2 linked regions of the Notamacropus eugenii genome follow. The protein of the gene in region 1 purifies or fractionates together with the protein of each later gene. This does not show direct contact. Links are inferred from orthologs where the notes say so. Each region holds a gene or a part of one and is shown on either strand. Other genes may lie near its edges.

Evidence for each region.
Region 2: the proteins of GDI2 (region 1) and RAB1A purify together in Homo sapiens (affinity purification with mass spectrometry; 6 studies listed by BioGRID and IntAct, counting the BioPlex papers as one, with this or other methods). This does not show direct contact. The link is inferred for Notamacropus eugenii from reciprocal best matches to the Homo sapiens genes GDI2 and RAB1A.

What each region holds. Positions count from the first base shown.
Region 1 is NC_092874.1:209,606,157-209,616,378, forward strand, and holds the start of GDI2 (rab GDP dissociation inhibitor beta), read right to left. Parts: upstream 4,779-10,222; 5' UTR 4,442-4,778; coding exon 4,397-4,441; intron 4,223-4,396; exon of another isoform or gene 3,593-4,222; intron 1-3,592. UniProt on the Homo sapiens protein: GDP-dissociation inhibitor preventing the GDP to GTP exchange of most Rab proteins. By keeping these small GTPases in their inactive GDP-bound form regulates intracellular membrane trafficking.
Region 2 is NC_092872.1:639,181,322-639,192,364, reverse strand, and holds the start of RAB1A (ras-related protein Rab-1A), read right to left. Parts: upstream 4,548-11,043; 5' UTR 3,230-4,547; coding exon 3,207-3,229; intron 1-3,206. UniProt on the Homo sapiens protein: The small GTPases Rab are key regulators of intracellular membrane trafficking, from the formation of transport vesicles to their fusion with membranes.

The DNA of each region.
Region 1 (10,222 bases):
ACACATTTTAGTAAGATTCAGAACCCTAAAGAAAATATACTTGGCCACATGTTAAGAGGAGATAAGATGGTATGTTTTATTGCAAAGAACAGTCACCGACAATCAGAACTAGATTCTAGTCTTGTTTCTGATACTTGCTTGATATGTGTGATTCTGGGCAATTCACTAACTTCTCTAGGCCTCTATTACACACATTTAGAAAAATGAGACTGGATCATATCATCTCTAAGTCTCATTTCTAGCTCTAAAATTCTAAAAATAGTCTTCTCAATTTTCTACTGCTATCAAAGCCCACATTTACAACATAACAAAGATACAACTTATTTGAACCATTGCTAAACCATCAGAATTTTTTAAAAAGGTGATAAGAATTACTTTCCATGATCAGTAATGAAATGTGATGGTCTAAGGTACCTTTTAGTGATTAAATTGTTGTACAGGCCTAGGGAAACAAAAGGGAACTCTAATGATATAACAGCAATACAGTAAATTTCCTTCCAACCTACAGTGAAACAAAATTAATGGCATTCTATAGTACTTAATCTGCCAACTACAAAAGGTTGACTAATAAAACAATAGAAACTGCATTTGACTTATTAATAATGTTAAAATAATGTTAAAAATGACCAAACAAGGGACCTCATAAGTCGCGTAAGTCTAACACCTACCCAAATCATAAATCCAGCTTTATAACATTCCAACATCTCCAATGACAGGAATATAAAGATAGAGATGGGAAGTGGACTTGTGATTTCACTGGTAAAGGTTAACTTCTTTCTAGGTGAGGAAATTTCCTCTACCAATGCAGGCTGGCACTGTCTCTGAACTTACAGCCTAAAAGAGCTGCCTAGAGCCCTGAGAGGCTGAGTTACTTGCCAGGGGTCACACAGCCATTCAGTGTGAAAGGCAGAAGCCAGGTCTTCTTGACTTTGAAGAATGCTCTCTCTCCATTTCACCATGCTATGAGAATAGCAAAGCATTCTAATTTTAGGTAACTTTCATCATTAGGATTTTTATGTTTAGGACTAAGCAGAACAAGCCTAATGTCTTTTATCTATATGAATATCTTTAAATATTTAAAGATTTCTAACACATATAAGCCCTAAATCTTTTCTTCAGACTAAACACTCCCAACCTAGAGCCTTTCACAGCCTGACTCCAACCTACTTTTCCAGTCTTATAATACATTGCTCTCCTTCAAACACACTATGGTTAAACCTGATTATCTTGATATTCTTCAAACAAGACACCCCATTTTGGTGCCATGAACAAGCTTTCCTCCATGCCTAGATTGTACTTTCCTCATCTCTAGTTCTTAGAATTCTGAGTTTTGTTCAAAGCTCTGCTCAAATATCACCTTCAATGTCTTTCCCCAATTCCCCTAGCTCCTAACATCTAGCACAGGGGTGGGGAACCTACAACCTTGAAGCCACATGTGAAACCTTGAAGCCCTCAAGTATGGCCTTTTGACAGAATCCAAACTTCAGATTCAAGTCAAAGGGCTGTAGTTGAGGATCTAGACTTGGATCCAAAGGGCCACACTTGAGGACTAAGAGGGCCACATGTGGCTCCCAGGCTGCAGGTTGCCACCCCTGCGCTAGCACTTCCCTAAATTACCTTCTATTTATTTTGCATGACCTTATATATGTGTGTTGTACCTATTATCTCCTCCTATAAAATGTAAGGGGCAGCTAAATGAGGCATAGCTGACAGTCAAGAAAACTCATTTCCTGAGTTCAAATATGGCCTCAGACACTTATTGGCTGTGTGACCCTGGGCAAGTCACTTAACCCTGTTTCCTTCAGTTTCCTCATTTGTGTAATGAGCTGGAAAAGGAAATGACAAACCATTCCATTATCTTTGCCAAGAAAACCCCAAATGGGGGTCACAAAAAGTTAGACACAACTAAAAATGACTGAACAACAATAAAATGTAAACTCCTTGAAGTGAGCACAATATATTTAATTTTTATCTTTGTAGTTCCAGACTCTTAATACAAAAGATGCATCTCAGGCATTTTCATATTCCTATTTGAAGATCATATTAACCCTGTGAGGTAAAAATTACAGGTATAATTTTTACAGTTTACAGAGAACACTGGAACTCAGTGAACTGCTTGATGGTGACACAACTTGTAAATGTCAGTCAGGATTCAAAACCAAATCTCTCCTGACTCCAAATCCAAAGCATTTTCCAAATCTAATTACCCTCACACTAAAAGTAAATGACTTTAGTCTGGCATGTTTTTTGATGAACCCATGCTGACTCTTGCCTACCCTTTTAAGTGAAAAACACTGAAAATCCACAACCACAGAGCAAAATAAAGGTTTGTGCAAGAAACTAAGTCCAAAATGATGGACTTAGTACTATGCACTTGCTACCTGATCTAACCCACCACAACTGTGTACAAGTTTGCTTTCTTTAAAGGTCTGGTCGTTTCCCAATATACCACACAGAGATTCAACTCAATCTCTAAAATTCAAAAATCATTAAAAAGATTTTTCCGATAAATAATTTCATAATTGGTACCCCTTTTTTCAATCCCCATGATAGCTACAGTTTGCAACTTTAGTTTGTCTGATCCACTGTGATGGAGAGGAATACAAATACAAAAAATCAATATAAATATTAAAGTGATAGACTGAAAAACAATACATTAATTTTTAGTAACTATTTTGTAAATGGTTAACCAATCAAATGAAAACTGAAAATTGTCCTTTTAACATCAATCAAAAGTGATTAATACTGGTATATGAGTATGTCTTCTAGAGGATACCCGAAAACCAAAATACATTCAAATATTGCTTACTGATTATAAAACAAAAGCGAGGTTCAAATCAATTCCACTCTGTCCTCCAACACTGCTTTTCTTATGAATACTAATTTGTTCATCCAGTCAACAAATATTTATTTAGCTTAAAATAAACTGTAAAATGATATGTAACAGAGAGAATTTATTTACTTTTTCTGTATTTTTTTTTTTTTTGCTGAGTTAAGTTACCCCAAAGTATGAACAATTAGGAAATTCAATAAAATAGGCCAAGGTCACAGAAAAGCCTTTTATTGATATCTTTCTATTGTAGCATTCATGGGATCCTAATTATCCAACTTAAAATGTTTTTAAAAAGAGCCATAATCTTTTGAGAAAAATATGCAATAATGGGAATGCTAAAATATGAAGTATATTCAACTCTGGTGGGAAAAAAGACAACATAGGAGTCCTTAAAGGACGTACCTAAAAGCACATTTTTGTCCCCTTCCTCCACACAAACCATTTAAATTAGGCAAAGCCATTCATGGAGTAAAGAAAGCACTCACATAGACATATACTGATTTTTCTTCTAAGTCCCCTAAGAAGCTGTCATGGGGTTATCTGTGCCTTTTACTATTCATTAACCCACATCTTAGTAGAAAAGAGAAAAGACCAAATAGAAGAAAACGAGAAAAAAAAAATCAACAGCAAGTCTTTCTCATTTCTCGCCTGTAAACGTGCAGTAAGAAAGGCATCCCCAAAACACCAGAGTGAGAAGGGGGGCAACTAGATTCTGCCAAACCCCACAAACTCGGCGCAGCATTTTGGCCCCCATTAGACCTTTTCAGAATTCGCTGACCATCGCTTCTCACATCATGCAGTGCCCTTTGCCTGCTCACTGCTGCAGGGGAGTGAATTTTAGTCACTGAAGGAACCATTTCCACCCTGCCTCCCGTCCGGAGAGGTCATCAACCCAAAGGGGGAAAAAGTCACAAGAGGCTTGGAATTCAGTTTAGTTACAATTATTCGAGTCTCCTCTCCTTTGCAGGAAGCAGGCCGTTTAATTCCAGACCTCTTCCTCCGCTTCACTGATTTAAACCATTTCCTGGACCCTCCTACAAAAGGGGCAGGGGAGGCTGCCACGAGGACGTGGGGACACGGTCACTTATGCTCCTCTGAGCGTCCTCGTCCCCAACTGCCGAAAACCTTAAGTGTCCGGGGCAGCCTTTCCCAAAAGCTCATCATCTGAAGGAAAAAGCTGCCAGATCCAAGAGCTCCGCGATCACAGGACAAGCAGCCCCCTCCAGGGGTCCTTCAATACGGAAGGACAGAGACGCCAATCAAACCGTAGCTCCGGGTACGTGTGCGCGTGTCGGATCCAACGGCGCCGACACGGCCAAATAAATAAAAGCAGGAAGCTGGAGGAAGCGGGCGTTAGAAGGCGCGGCGGGGGCCGCGGTCCGCGGGCCCGAGCCGCACCACGCGCGCTCCCGACAGGGGAGCCCCTCTCCCTCCCTGCCCCCCTCGCTGCTCACGCCCTCCGGGAGCGAAGCCTCCTCCCCTCCCCCGCTGCGGGCGGTCACGGCCTGCCCCCACCCCCAGCGGGCCAACCTCCTCCCCTCCCCTCCCCCTCCCCGTCCTCACCGTGAGGCCGGTGCCCAGCACGATCACGTCGTACTCCTCATTCATGGCGGGAGTCAGAGGATGAAAGGGGAAGAGAGAAAAAAAAAAGGGGAGGCGGGTCAAGAGCTAGAAAGGGAGAAAAAACAAGCCAAAAGCAGCGAGTAGCGAAGCCCCACGCGCCGTCCGGCGAGCGCAGAAAGAAGATATAAAATGGAGCACGGAGGAGGAGAAACCGCCCACTGCCACAGAGGAGAGAAGAGGAGCGAGGGCTGCGGGAAGAGTAAGCAGGAGGAGCCTAGCAGGAAAGGGGGCGGGGCGGCCGCTGCAGCCTAGGGGGCGGACTCTGGAGGAGAGAGCGGCTCCTGGTTGCTGTCAATCACGGGCCTTCCGCTTCTCTTGCCGCGCTCTCATTGGCTGAGCCGGGCTCGTTCGTTACTGTACTTCCCTTTTCACTCCACGCGAGAGGGAGGCGGCACCGGGCGAGGCTTGAGCTCCTCCTTTTCCGAATCTCTTCCTCTCTCCATACTCCCGCCCTCCCCGTTTCAAGCTCTGCTTGCTGGAGGGATTAGCGTGGTGGGTGTGGGAAAAGGCGGAGATGGCCCGCCAGTGGGCCGGGGCCTGACGCTTGGTTTAGCGCCCGGGCCCTCAGGGACAGGGCGGGGCAGCGCTGCGCTGGCATCTGGCAGCGGCCCCAATGGTCTGGCTGTGGCCCCTGCAGCGGCTGCTCGCCCTTGGACTCTGAGCTCCCCTTTGTTTCTAAGTCCCCTCTTGGACTCGGGGGGAGGGGAGGAAAGGATGCACCGGGTGATGGGGACAAACCTGGCAACTGTGACCTTGGGAGGATTGCTTCGTTCTCCTTTTTTTTAAATGAAAGGTTTGACTCGGAGGATAGCTGCCAGTGCAGCGTGATGGAAGGCAATAGGGCGCTGGAGGAGCCGGTGAAGTGGACAGATTGGGCAGCAGACTGCAGCCCAGGATCCTCGGTTCTGTTATGTGACTCCCTCCCTGCTTCAAAGTGCAAAGTCCCTTACTCTGCCTGTCCCAGGAAGAGTAGGAGAAACAGCAAATGTGCATTTCAAAGGAAAAATTTTTTAAATCTTTTGTAAAAAAGGCAGCGGGTCTCATATAAAAACAGGCTCTTCAGTTTAAATTGATATAATCTAGAATGATTTTCTATAAAAATAAGCAGTTGTAGTAGAGTAGGCAACTCTGCAGTTTAAAAGAAATTTAACATCCTCTACTTGCCTTTGGGGTTTTTTTTTTTTTAATTTGGTTTTCATGGCAGACTTTCCCTCTTGCAAGAAGTATCTGCATAGGCAGAGAAATTCTCAATTTACAGACCTACGAAGCTATAAAGTGATGTTGGAAGAAGCTGATGGAACTAATGGAATCAGAAGAGTGACTTTCTGAAAACTTACCTTGGATAATTTGGTTGCCGACTGGTCCATGACAAATTTTTGTGTTTTACTCTCAACTGGGTCCTCACTATGGCAATGCAATCAATTTTTTTTACATTTTCCTATTGGTTTCACTATCCCACTCACCATTATAGCTTTTCCAGACGTTTTCTTCCCGTCTCAAACTTCCCATCTTCCCCTAGACTCTCAACTGAAAACCTAGCTTCATATTTTGAAGAAAAAGTTGAGGCCATTTACTGTGAGCGTCTCTCTTCTGTCTTCTTCATATCACTCAGATGCTTTCTGCCACAAACTCCCCTTCCGACCTGTCCCACCGGAAGACTTACCAAGGCAAATGCCTTTACCTGCATAAGCAATCCAGTTCCATCTCCAACATGGTGCCCCACCCTAACCCTACCCGTCCAGTTATTTTCAGTCTCTCCCTGTCTACTGGCAGTTTTCCAGCTGCTTGCCCATATCTTCCTCATCCTCAAAAAACCCTCATTTGAGCTAACCATACCAGTTAGCCAACATCCTATATTTCTTCTCCTTTTTGTGACTAAACTCCTTGAAGAAGCCATTTATAATCAGTCCTTTAATTCTTTTCCTTTGAATTTCTTTTTAATTCTGCAATCCGGTTTTTTACCAGAATCAGTTTTTGAACTGACACTGCTGTCTCCAAGAGTACCACTAATCTCTTAATTTCCAGGTTTAACGACCTTTTCTCAAACCTTCTTGCCTCTGCAGCTTCTGAGACTATTGATGACCCACTTCATCTTAATACTCTCTTCTTTCTAGGTTTTCCTTATAGTGTTCTTTCCTGGATCTCTTCTTTCCTATGTCATAGCTCCTACTCAATTTCCTTTGCTGCATCTTCACTCAGGTCATGCCCACTAACTATGAATATCTCTCTCAAAACCTCTGTTTTGGGGCCAAGAAGATTTCCTCTAAACTGCTTCTCTTGGTGATCTCATCAGTTCCCATATCATCTCTCTACAGATAATTCTCAGAGATATTTATCCAGCCCTGATGTCTCTCCTGACCTCCTGTCTTATATCTCCAATTGCCCTTTGGATATCTCAAATTCTGTGGGTTTCTTAGACATTTTAAACTCAACATGTCCAAAAATGAACTCCATCTGTCCCCGCAAAATTCTCTTAATTTCCCCGTTACTGTCAAAGATACCACTATCCTCCCAGTTATTCAAGCTTGAATTCTTGACTCCTTACTCTCTGGCTGATGTTACTGCCCAGGGGAACTTCTGTGTTTTGGAATAACTACCTCACCTAAGTGGTCTTCAGCCTATACCCACCTGAAATCATTATCCCTCATAGACAATCTTAGGGCAAGGAGTTTGTTCCTGCCAACCAGTATCTCCATTATCATGCACTTGACTGCCCAGGTCAGATGTCTGACCACCCAGAAATCATGCTCGTGATGAATTAATACCATTCTAGGAAGGGGAAGATCCCTCTATTCCAGTGGTTTCCTGCATCTAGTCTCCAGAGATTTACCTGATAAGAATGGACTGCTTTTGGACATAGTTCTAGCTGTCCTTCTGCTTTCTTGCCCAGCACAAAGTGGCATGAGTCTTGTGGTCCTTGCCCTGTCAGAGGGCTCTGAATGTCCTGGAGAAATAGCTTAGGTCCCTCTCAACAGGACAGCTAGGTGGTACAGTGGATAGAGTGCCAGACCTGGAGTCAGGAAGACTCATCTCCCTGAGTTCAAATTTGGCCTCAGATACTGTGTGACGTTGGGCAAGTCACATGTTTGCCTCAGTTTCCTTATTTATAAAATGAGCTGGAAAAGGAAATGACAAACCATTATCTTTGCCGAGAAAACCTAAATGGGGTCACAGAGTTGGAGACAATTCAAACAACTGAACAACAACTTCCCTCCCGACTGGTAGATATTCTTTCCTCTGGGGTGCTTTTGACAACACCTAAGGGGAAAAGTAGGTGGTATTGCTGAAAGGTGCCTTGCTATATATCTGACAGGACAAAGTTGTCCCTTATAACAGTTTTGCCTCAGTTTCCCTGACATGACTTCTGGATCATTTGGGGCATAAAAAGTCCCACCCATTTGAAGTCTGAGACTCTTAGACTTGGTGAGTGCCTAAGATCTTGCAAGTCACTAAACCCTGGACAGATGGTATACTGAACAGACTCATTTCCAGATGAAGACAAAAGGAAAGTGCAAGAAGCTGTGTCATTTCTTCCTTGTTGCATGTTCTTGCTCTGTTAATTCTTTGTTAAATGTTCAGTGACTTAGGATGCCTCATTTCATCCCAACACTGGACCTGCACCACCAGCAGGTCCACTAGCTGCACCTACAATAGTGAATGTATATTTACTTGGAGGAAAGGAATTTTTTATCATCTACAAAAAGGATGTTTGCATCCCCAGCACTTAGTACAGTGCCTGGCACTGGTAGGTACTTAATAAATGTGTATTGACTATCTTCTACCTCATGCTTTTCACACCTGATCTCCAGCCGCAGGTGAGAAGAGGAATGACCTCCCTCTGACCACATCTTCCATCTAATGCTGGCCAGGCCTGATTTCCAGGCTTAGATTCCTAGGGGCTATCTGGAGGAGACTTCCATTTGCACCAGCACAAGGTAACTTCTACCTTCTGCTCCACCTGTTAGCCTGTTCACCCACCTCCCTTCATATGTGAAGAAGAGAACGCTTCCCCCTGACCTCAGGTCTTCCATCTCCTGCTGTGCCTCTCTACTGAGGAAAGAGGAAGAGGAAAATTTCATTTGCTGGATCTTCATCCAGATCACGTCCTCGAGCAGTATGTGTCCCACTGTACTATGGGGCTCCATCCTGGGCTCTCTTATACTGTTGTAGTATTTCAGTTGGTGATCTCATCAGATCCCATGAATTTAATTATCTTTATGCTAATAATTCTCAAATCTATTTATCTAGCCTTAACCTCTCTGGTGATCTCCATTCTATCTCCTGTCTTTCAGACATCTCATACTAGATACCTAGTAGACGTCTTAAGCTAAACATGTCCAAAACTAAACCCATTATCTTTCTCCCAAACCCTTCCCTTTTCTTAACTTCCCTATTACTATAGAAGATAACACCATTTTCCCAATCCCCTAGGCTTACAACCTAGGTATCATTCTTGAGTCCTCACTACTTCTCACCCTCTAAATCCAATTGGTTGCCACGGCCAGTCAATTTCACATTTGCAGCATCTCTCAAATATATGCCCCCTTTTCCAGTGCAGGCCCTCATCACTTCACACCTGGATTATTGCAATAACTTTGTGGTAGATTTACCTGCCTCAAGTCTCTTCTCACTTCATTTCATCCTCCAGTCACCAAAGTGGTTTTCCTAAAGCACAGGTTCAATCAACCATGTCACTCCTCAACTCAAATTCTAGTGGCTTCCTAGGATAAAATATGAAATTCTCTGGTATTCAAAGCCATTCATAACCTAGCATAGCTCTCCTTCTCCGCATCCCCCCCTCCCTAATTTCTTATCTCTGGCCATTTTCTCTGACTGTTCCCCATGCCTGGAATGCTTCCCCTCCTCATGTTCACCTCCTGGAATTTTCAAATTCCCCTGGCTTTCTTCAAATCTTAACTAGAATCCTACCTTCTAAAAGAAGTCTTTCCCACCCCTTCTAAATTCCAATGCTTTCTGTAATGCCTATTTATCCTATTTATATAGCTTACTTGTATATAGATTTTGAGTTCCTTGAGGGAAAGAACTGTCCTTTTGCTTCTTTTTGTATTCCCAGTTCTTACCACAGTACCTGGCACCCAGCAGACACTTAATAAATGTTTATTGACTAATTAACTGACTGACGGATCTTAATGTGGTTCCCAGGAAGGGGGAGTTTTTAGCATGTGTGCCAGGGAATATTGAGTTAGGTGGGCGGTGCTATGGGGGAAAGTCTGGGTATCAAGCTAGTCCTGGACAGGTTTTATGAGAGAAGTTTATTATCTCTTAATCACTTTCTATGGATAACTGACATGTGATGAAGAATTATTAGCTATGCCAGAAGCGTCATCATCAGTGCTGTGTCCCTGATGTTCTTATCATTCTCACACATCATTACAATGGGAGAAGAGTCTGTGTGTGACTGTATTGGAAGTTTCATCATCTGTCCCATGTTCCTAATGGTATTGTTTCTAGTCATCAGCTGCAACATGTGACTCACAGTGAACTGCAAATGTTTGGAATTACCCAGATCTTTGAGATCTGAGATTTGGTCCTTCTGAAGTGAATAGGGAAAGTCAAAGATTTCTTGCATTTTTTTTTCTTTTTCTCTATGGTAACTTTTGTGGGGGGGAGGGGTGATGGGGGGAGGGAGAGGCATTAATTTCTTTTGTTATTGTTCTGTGTGTTTTGTTTTGACTTTAAAAAATTTTTCTTTTTCTTTCTTTTTTCTTCCTCTTCCTCCTCTTAGTACTACTCCTATTTTTTCAT
Region 2 (11,043 bases), on another chromosome or scaffold:
TTAAATAGACAAGCAATCAGAAATCCAGAAAGCCAACAAGACTTGACCTAAGTCACACCAAGGCATATCTGGGAGCAGAATCCAGACCTGACTAAGCTCAATGCTCAGTTCTATCTTACCAAGAGTTTGCTTTAAAAAAGGTGACATTTTTAATTCTTTCCAACTTTCCCTACAGTTCAATATTTAGCCATATAGATGATGATTATTTATTAACTCAGAGCAAACATTTCTAAGTACATAAAAATATTTGACTATGAACTTTCAGGACATTGTTATGAAGAATATTTATTTATCCACAAAACTAGTGTCAGTTTAAATTAGAAAAAGCAATCTGAAAATTCAAGAAAAGTTGGGGCAGCTAGGTGGCACAATAGATACAGCACTGGCCCTGAAGTCAGAAGAATCTGAGTTCAAATTTGGCCTTAGACACTTGACACTTACTAGCTGTGCGACCCTGGGTAAGTCACTTTAACCCTTATTGCCTCACCACAAAAAAATAAAATAAAAATTCAAGAAACGTGTTTTGCAAAGTCTGACTTTTCTAATCTGGTTGCTGACAAGTTACTGGTCTTTTCCACTAAATGTTATGTCATATCCCAAATAATTTTCACCATCCACTCTTAAGATTTACAACAACTTCCTCTTTCCAAACTCCCTTCTACTTCAATTGGACCCACTATTAGACAGTAAAAGTGTGGTCATGGGTCAATTTTCTGTGCTAGGATGCAACCAATAAAAACAGTTATCATACAAAAAAGGTATCCTTGCAGGGCTTCTGCTCAAGCTTTTAACTTCATTAAAAAGCCAATATATAGGTAGATACATTTCACACCACATTTATTAACTTTAGTCACAAAAATGTGAAACTCACTTTAGAAATTCCAAAGCACACTTTAAAAATATTGGCTCTTCCTCCTTTTCATCTTTGCCCAACAATGTTTCACTTGCCTTGCATACGTCCTCGCCTTTCCTTTCCACTTATCAGAGTCCTACCATTCCATCAAGAAGGGCAGTTCAAGTGGCTCCTCCTACATGAGCTTTCTCCAGACCATGGTGATCTCTTCCTTCCTATGCAGTGCTCATAAAGCAGTTATAAATTATAGTGTAAGACAGTATGTTTACCTCTAGTTTCTAATTAAAATTGCAAAATCCCTAAACGCAGAGTCTACGGCTTACTTCTGTTCATAACTCAAGCACCTTATAAACAGTGATCAAATTTGGACTAGCAATTCTATGATAGTTACCTTTGAAAGCTTTCCTAAACAACCTATTGAAACTTTGATTTTAAATAATAATCATAATAAACAACAATAATCTTACAGTTTTCAAAGTACTTCACCATATATTACCTCATTTAACCCTCAAAGCAAACCTGTGGTATGGATTAGGCAGCTATTAATACTCCCTTTTTACAATGAGGAAATAAATTTTAAAAATTAAGTAACTTGCCCTGGTCTATTTAATATCTGATTATGATGTTAACAGTAGTTTTCTCTTAACTACTTTTACATAAACTGAATCTTGCGTAAGGAGCGCCCTAAGCAGCAAGGCAACCAACTTCTAAAGCAATGGCTAATCAGTGTTTCTGACTGTGGCCAAGAAACTGCTAAGGAGTAGTTAAGGACACTAGTCAACTCTGCAATTTTGTTTTCTTGGGGCCCCTTTTCCTAGAACTTTGTAAGGAAAGGTGAAACTGCAAGACTGCAAATCAACTAGCTACATCTTAAAATATGCAGAATTCGAATCAAATATGATGCCTTCTCTGCAATTTAATACAAACCAAAGGAAACATTTCAGTACCAAACCACAGTGTTACAAAACCTGCAGTCAGAATGCATTTTGCAAGAGCCATGTGACACACACATGACTGTCAGCTAAGCTGATGGGTTGACCAGAGGGGAAGGGGATAGGAGTACAGGGAATTTAGCAGTAGAACTTCAAATTTTAAGAAAACACTCTAACATTAATCTTTCCTTCTGACATACCGGTTTATTTTAAAAGCATCCATTTCAATCACATCGTTACTATTTGAGTAATTTTACATGTATTGAGGGGAGGAAATTGGGGGGTTTGGGGAAGAACGACAGAATTTTCCCAAGAAAAGTGAATTCCAGTTACTAGGAAAGGTGCCAAGTATGTCACATCTGCTGTCGCTGCTTCTCAATTAAGCAAGAAAAAGAAATGCATTAACTTTTCATGACACGTCATGAAACCTCATTCCTTATCTGCAATCATTCAGGTAAGGTAATCCAAAACTTGCAGATCCACCAGTTTCTCTCTCTACTATAACTGTAAGGATGAGGACAGGGACAAGACCTGTGATTTCAGCAGCACCCGGAACTCTTAAGGGAAGAAACTCCCTCTCCCCACACAGGCTAGCACCTCCTGGGCAACTCTAAGGGGCTCGGAGAGCGGCGTGCCCGGGGGCCCAAGGGTCAGCGCGGAGGCCGGCTCTCCATCACCCTCAGGGTGACAGGCTGCCACACTCGGCTCGTCTGACACGGTGACGACGGGGAGGTGCGCTTGTGCCTGAGGTTTTCCTTGGGTCCTACAGAGAAGTGTTTCAGAGGCGATGGAGTCCTTCCGGCCCGAGTGACCAGGTCCTCAGGAGGGTTTTGGCTCCTCCAGAACACAGGCTCGGAGAAGTAGGGGCATTTTAAGAGCCCCTCTCCTCTCCCCACGGTCCCTGAGGAGCGTCCATGTTCACCTGCCGCCTGGCGGGGCCCCAAGGAAGGAAGGCAAAACAAGCTCCGGAGAAGCGGAGCCGTTCCCCTCTCCTGCGGGGGGCTGACAGCACCCCACCCCGGCCCCCCCGAAGTACCCACCCGCTTCGCGGAAGTCACCTCTCTCAGAGAAAAGAAGCCCTCAGCGGGCCCTCCGAGGCAGCCTCTCACAACCCCCCTTTCCTTCCCGGGCCTGCTTCGGGGAGCCTCCATTTCACCGGACCCCGCCCCCCCCTCGGGTCTTGCGGCTCCCTCTCAGCCGCACCCCCTCCGCCGTCAGACAATGGGGCCCGCCAGGTCCGGCTCGGCCCGGCTCGGAGCGGCGGGCCTCGCTCGGCTGCGCGCCGGTGGCCTACGGCTCGGCTCGGCCCGGCTCCGCATCGCCTGGCCCGGGCCCTGCGCTCCTCCTCTTCTTGCCCGGTGCCCGCCCCTCACCGCCCGGCCCAGCCTCGGCCTCGGTCCCGCTCCCGGCCCCTCACTCACTATTCGGGATTCATGCTGGACATGTCACTGCAGCTGCCGCCGCCGCCGCCGCCACCTCCGCCCTTGGTACTGCTGCTACTACCGCCGCTGCCGCCTTGATTCTCCGCGCCCGGAACCGACGAAAAGGAATGAGAAAGTCCGTTCCGGGAGAGCAAACGTCTACCCCCCTCCGCACCCAGTGAACACAATCAGCTGCCACTGCCGCCGCCGCTTCTGCCGCTCGACTCTCGCTTCCACCCAAAATGGCCGCCGCCGAACCAGGAAATAGGGAAGCCTCAGACCGAAGGGCCTTTACACAGCCCAGAGGGCGGCCGCACCGCACTGCATGCCGGGCAAGATAGTCCAGGCGCGCGCCTGGGGGCCCCGCAGCCAGATGGTTTGGCAAGACGGCTGGGACTCGCTTTCCCGACGAGCCCGGCTCCTTTGGCGCATGCGCATTGAGGGAGCTGTTGACCACCCCACTTTACCCCACTTCCCCCCCCTTTCCTCTCCCTTCCCGACCGTCTCTCGGGAGAAGGCTCCGCTCTGACTCCCCCTAGCGGATTGGCTAAAACTGAGCGGCCTCGGTGATGTCATCAGTGAAACGTGGCAGCTGGGCGAGTCAGCGACCTAAAGGAGAGGGGGAGGTGTCAAGGGAGGGGCTGAACTGCGGGAGAGGGGTGGGGCGAGAAGCGAGGGGCGGGGAAGAGGAAGGGAGAAAGGAGCCGGGAGGAAGGAAGAAAAGGGAAGGGTCCAGCTGGAGAGGAAACCCAAGGGGGAGAAAGCTTTAGAACGGCCGCTGAGTGGGAAGCCGCCCTGAGCCGGCTCGCTCTAGGGCCTTAATAGACGATCCCTAGGAAAAGACTTTGAAAGGGGCTGGGAGCAAAGGCGATGCCCCGGTGGCTCTGCGGCGCCGCGGGGAACTCTGGAATTGTGTTCGGGTCGGACCGCAGCGGTCCTGACTCCTCCCTCCCCCGCCCCCACCTCGGAGCAGACACGGTCTCCGAAGTCTCCTCTCCAGTCCGCCGGCCTCTCCCTGGTCTAGGTGGTCCGGTCGGGGCCTCTGATACGCTATGAGCTGGCTGACCTTGGGCCAGTCTCAAGCCTCAGTTTCCTTATCTGTAAAATGGGGACTATTTGCCCATCTGGGTTGATGGGAGGTAGCTCTTTGTACACCTTAAGAACCTAGGAGTTATGGCCTTTAATGATCAAGACCAATATTTTAAAAAAATTGTATATAACATATTTTTTCAATTAGCAATAATCTGCCTTCTCACCCTTCTACTCCAACCCTCTCCCCCCCCACGCACACTTGTGAACTAAAGAACAAATCCTGTTACATATAGCCAATAAAAACAATTCCCACACTGACCGTGTCCTTTAATAAAATTGTCTCGTTTTACACTCTGAATCCTTTTTTTTTCCTTCTGAAACCTCTATCAGGATGTGGATAGCATGTTTCATCATTAGTCCTCTGGAACTGTGGTTAGTTATTAGCTGATAAGAGTTCCCGGTTCTTTCTCCACCTTCATTTAACAACACATGAGGGAAGTTGCTTATATCATGCTATAAATTGTTCTGTTTCGGTTCACTTGGCATCAGTTCATACAAGTCTTCCCAGGGTTCTCTGAAACCATCCCCTTCAACGCTTCTTACAACACAATGGTATTCCAAAACATCATAATTTGTTCATCCATTCCCCAATTTATGGGTGCCCCCTCTGATTCCCATTCTTTGCCACCTCAAGAGAACTTTAAATATTTTTGTACAAATTTAGAATTTGTTTTGCTTAAAACTAACCCCTCCCTTAATCTACCCTTCTTCCAATTTTCCCTCTCTACTTCTCCCCTTTCGCTCCTATGTTGAATAAACTATATTTCTGTAAGCAGATGTATGTGTGTGTATGTTCTTCCCCATTCAGATGAGAGTGAAATTGAAGTGTGAGATGTTCTCTCCTCCTCTCTTCTTTGTTTCTGTAGATATCTATTTGTACACCCTAATTATGTCAGATAATTTTCCCTAATCTTCCTTCCCCTCCTCTATTCTCTTACCTTCTCTTTCCATTTTTCTCTTAAGGTCAAGAGGTAACAGAACTGCTCCTAGACTTTGTAGAGTTAGACTCCCTTTATGAACCCTGATGATAATAAGGTTCAGAGGGTATACATATATCACCTGTCTATAATAGAATGTAAGCAGTTAAGTCTTTGTTTAGGCAATTATCATTGTTTGTTCATATTGACCTTTTTATGTTTCTCTTACCTCCTGCATTTGAACTTCAAAGTTTCTATACTGACCTTTTCATTAGGAATGCTTAGAAATCCTTTATTTCATTACAGATCCATTGCCCCCCTTGTTGCATTATATGCATTTTGCTGGGCAAGTTATTCTTAGCCTCTAATTCTTTTCCTTCTGGGTGCTAAATCCTGTGTGATCCTAACTGTTTGGTATTTTAAATCTTGCTTTCCGGCTGCTTGTTGGATTTTTTTCTTCAATCTGGAAACTTCGGGGTTTGCTGTGATGTAGCTGGGAAATTTCATTTGGGAGCTTATTTCAGAAGGGAACTGGTGGATTATTCTTATATCTACTTTCTACAAGATGTGGTCACTTACCTTTTTTTTCACTCATGGTGTTCAGATAGTCTAATCTTCAATTTTTTCTACTCTTTTGTAGGTCAATTGTTTTCATTTTGAGCTACTTTATATTTTCTTCTATTTTTCAACCTTTTGATTTTGTTTTATCATCTCATTGTTTCATGGAGTTATTGGTTTCTTTTTAGTCCATTTTATTTTTCAGGGAGTTTGTTGCTCAGACAAGGTTTTATACTTCTTGTCCCACACTGTTAATTCCCTTTTCCAATCCTTTCAGAAATTTAATTTCTTTTCCATTTTTTTCTTCAAGCTTTTACTCCATTAATAAAAGCATCTCTCTCTGTCTCTCAGTCTGTCTCCCCCTCCCCCCCAGCAACACTACCCTTGTGTGTAGGACTGTGACCTAAAAAAGTGTAGTAGGCAACACAGATTTCAGTGGGCACCCGTTCCCATTACACTCCCCTAGTATGGATCTGGAGGTGCCTAGTTTAGGTCTGGGATCCCCTCTTGCCCTGAGACACAGTCTCTCCTTGGATGCTCTTTTCCTAACTTTATCACTCTCTATAGGAATCCTTTGTTTCAGTAAGATTGATATCCTTGTTCCTTCCCTGAGTATGCATTACCCACTCCAGGCAACTGGTCTTCGCTCACTAATTCTCTTGGCTAGGCCTTTCTCTAATTTCTATTCCCTTTTCTACCTCCACCTTGAAGACTTCTTTAACTACTCCAGCTAACTTCTGTATTCTCTAACCATTTAAAGAAAGCACCACTTATATGTACCAGCCACTAGGTACTTTATAATATAGGATGTCCCAAAAGTCTTAGTGTACTTTAAAGCTTTACTAATTCTCTTGAGCCTGTCAAGTAAGCAAGGAATTGCCTGCTATGGAAGGGTGGGAGGAAACAACCATTTGTTAGGCACATATTACATGCCAGGTACCCTGTTAAGTGTGCTTTACAAATATTATCTAATTTGATCCTCACAACAACCCTGAGAGGTAGGTATTATTAAATCATTTTATAGCTGACAGAGGTTGTCTATCTAAAGTAGACAGGTTAATTGAGTTGCTCAGATTCACCCAGGCAGTAACTAACTGAGGTCAATTTTGAATTCATGTCTTCCTGACTCCAAGGCCAATGCTATTACCTAGCTGCCTAGTCCCAGGCTTCTTGGGTCCTCCACTCCGTCCTCCTCCCTCCTAGTATGCTCCGTGACCTCCTGTAACTCCACCTCTACTAGGCCCCTCACCTGAGCCTGTAACCACTTACATACCTCCCTCTGTCAATGATTAACAAATTCCTATCCAGTCATACTCTCCCCATCACCATGACTCTGAACCATTGAAATCCACGTTCTGATTTGTTCAAATCCATTCTGATGATCTGGGTGGCACAGTGAATAGAGAGCAGGGCTTGGAGTCAGGAAGACCTGAATTCAAATGTGTCCTCAGACACTTGTGTGTTTGTCCTTCGCTGTCAAAGAAGACCAGGCCATCAGAGAACTAATGATGCGACTTGCACTTGACTTTGCCCTAGGCAAGTCACTTAACCCTGTCTGCCCCAGTTTTCTCATCTATAAAATGGATATATTCATAGCACCCATCTCCTAAGGTCATTGTGAGGATCAAATGAGATGAGATTTGTAAAGTGCTTAACACAGTGCCTGACACATGGAACTCTATAAATGTTAACTTCTATTACTACTATTATCATTATTTCCATCTTCTGCAATCCAACTGTCCCCATCCCTCAATGTACCACTCGAAACCTACCTCCCTCCTTCCACTGTGTTCTTTGGAATATCCACTCCAGAAGTAACAACTTGCTTTCATTTTAAACCCTTTCCTTTCTCACTCCTTTGGTCTACAGAAACTTACTGAGATCTGACTCCCTCCTAATAACACAGCTTCTCTGGCCCCCCTTTTCCACACTAACTGCCCTTTCATTTATACCCCAACTAATCATGGTAGGGGAATTAGAATACTCATTGCTCCCTATTGTCACTTCTAGGCTCTCCATTGATCATTAAGTAAACGTCTCCTTTGAGGTTCACTGAATCTATATTTGCTACCAATCAAGAGTCTGGCAGCTGTTATTTACCAACTTCAAGGACACCCTCCTCTCTTAAATGACTTCAGTGCCTGGATCACAGTCTCTTTCTCTGTCTCTCTCCCTCTCCTGCCCCGCTTCCCCAATTCCTACCCTCACACTAGGGGAATTCAACATACACTCTGATATTGCCCAAAACACCCTAACCTTCCAGTTCCTCAAATTTGCACATTTCCTATGCCTGCTTCTCCATCTGACCTCAAGTACACACAGACGTGGTCATACCCTTGATTAAGCCATCTCCCACATGTATGTTCATGAACTTCCATGTTTAGGAATTCTGAAATTCCTTTATCGGATCACAGCCTGTTGTCATTTCATCTCTTCCCCTGCCTTGCAATCCCAAACACTATTCTTTGTCCTCATTGCAACCTCGAATCCTTCTACCCCTCAGCCTCTTTCCATGGCTATCACCCCTTATACTCACTATACTCTCCTACTTTCCCCATCTTGACCCCCTGGGAAACCAATTCAAGTCCTCACAGTCATCTTTCTCTTATTCTATTGAAGATCTTGACCTTCCAGGCCTTAGCTCTGGATACTCCCACCATCCAACACCTTTTCTCCTCCTCTTGTGCTGCTAAACTAAGCTGAAGGAAATCATGAAACCCTGCTGACTGGGTTCACTACAAATTTATATGTAAAATCTCAGGTGGGCCTTTTTTTGCCTCAGCAAGGCAATACTTTTACACCTCCTTGATTGACTTGCTATCCCACTCAAGACAGACACTTTTCCAAACCTTTTCTGCCCTCCTGGAGCCTCTCATAGCTCCCCCTGCCCCCAGCCATCTCAGGTAAGGACCTCACCCTAAGGACTGAAAACATTAGGTTCATTCACTGAGAGCTCCCTCTTATCTCTTCCTCCTCCTCTCACATGACTCTGATGCCTTCCCCACCATCTCCTCCTTCAACCTGTCTTCCAAGAAGAGGCCCTCCCCCTTTCCCTTCTCCCTCTCCCTACACAAGGGATCCTGTTCCTTTCTTCTCCAGCAAATTGTTCCCTCTATCATCCTTACTCTCTTATTAATTACTTCCATCTCTCCTGGTCTACCAGCTATCTCTCTGCTGTCGATATACACAGCCATTTCTCCCCATCCTTAAAAAACCCCTCACTCATCCCCAATATCTCTCCTTGATTTCATGGCAAAACTTCTAGAGGTCATCTGTTATCAGGATTTCTATTTCCTTTTTCAGTCTTCTTAACTCTCTGGAGCAGGGGTGGGGAACTTGCCGCCTGCTAACATCTGGCTTCTGACCTGATCATTCCACTGAAACTGCTCTTTCCAGACTTACCAATGTTCTTATAATTGCTGACCCTAATGACCTTGTCTCAGTCCTCATCTTCTGGGACATCTCTGCGTGCACAGCCTTTAATACTCTCAATCACTCTCTTCTCCTTGATACACTCTCTCTCCCTCTCTTTCTCTCTCTCTCTGTCTCTCTCTGTCTCTCTGTCTCTCTCTGTCTCTCTCTCTGTCTCTCTCTCTCTCTCTCTCTCTCTCTTTCTCTGTTTTGTTAGTAACAACAATAGCTAACACTTATGTAGCACTTACCATGTTCTAGGTACTGTGCTAAGCACTTTGCAGTTACTATCTCATTCATTCCTCACAACAACCCTTCAAGGTAGGTGCTATTATTTTACATTTTACAAATGATGAAGCTGAGGCAAATACCCACTGAGTAACTTGCAAGGACCGCACATCTAGTAAATATCTGAGGCTGGATTTGAATTCAGGCTTTCCTGACTCCACATCTGGTACTCTATCCACCTAACTGCCCTAATAGGTTGTTACACTACTGTCTCCTGTTTCTCCTACCTTTCTGTCTGACTGCTCCTCAATTCTTTTGCTGGATCTTCATCCAAGTCGTTCCTGCTAATCATCAAGACTGTGTCCTGGACCCTATTGTCTTCTATACTATTTTATTTAGTGACTTCATCAACTCTCATGGATCAAATCGTCTCTATGCTGATGACTGTCAAATCTACTTATCCAGCCCTAACCCCTCTGAGAACCCCCAGATCTGCATTCACAATTGCCTACTTGACACCTCAAAATAGATGTCCTGTAGGTATCTTAAGAATCCACATATCTAAAACTTGGTGTCTTTCTATAGATAATCCTTCCTAACTTCGCTATTACTTTTCAGGGTACCTCCATCCTCCCAGTTACCTCGGCGTACAATGTACCTGTTATCCTTGACTTCTCTCTTTCTGGAGCACTGACCTCATCTTCAATTCGTTGCCAAGTGCTTATTGAGTCCATCTTCACAACTCTTGTATACGTCTCCTTCTCCTCTGACACTACCACTACTTTGGCACAGACCCATACCACCTCGTTTCAAAAGCCTTTTCGTTTTTCTGACTCCCTCACTCACTCTCTCCCAACTCCAGTTTATCCTCCATTCAGTTATCAGTGACCTTCCTAAAGCACAGTTCTGACCATGTTGCCTCATCCCTGCCATTTTCAATCAATTCCAGTGACTTCCTCTTGCTTCCAAGATCAAGTGTAAAATCTTCTGTTTGACTTTCAAAATCCTTCATAACCTGACACCTTTCTACCTTTGTAGTCACATTTTATGGTCTTTAATCCCCTGCACATACTCTGTGATCCAGTGTCATCGGCCTCCTTGCTGTTTCTCCCATGAGACACTCCATCTCCCATCTCTGGTTGTTTTCGCTGGTTGCCCCCCATAACTGAAAATTTCTCCCTCTTCATTCCTGACTCCTGACTTTTCTGGCTTCCTTCAAGTCCCAGCTATAATCCTACCTTCTATAAGAAGTTTTTCTCAATTCGCCTTGATGCTAGTGTTTTCTGAGATTATCTCCAATTTATTCTGTATATATCTAGTTAGCATGTTGTTTTCCTGCCAGTAATAGACAATGAGTTCCTGGAGAGCAGGGATTGTTTTGTTTTGTTTTTTTTAATTCAGAGGAAGTTTGTTTTGGCCTTCCTTTGTATCCCCAACCCTTAGCACAGTACTTGGCACATAATAGATTCCTAACAAATGCTTTCTGACTTGACTTGGCTCGACCCATCACTCTCTCTATCCCATGTATTCCAAACCTCCTCTCTTCTCTGACTTCCTACACCACAGCCTCTAGCTCTCCCCCTCAGCAAATGACTTCATCTCGTTTTTTACTATAAACATAGAGATTGTAC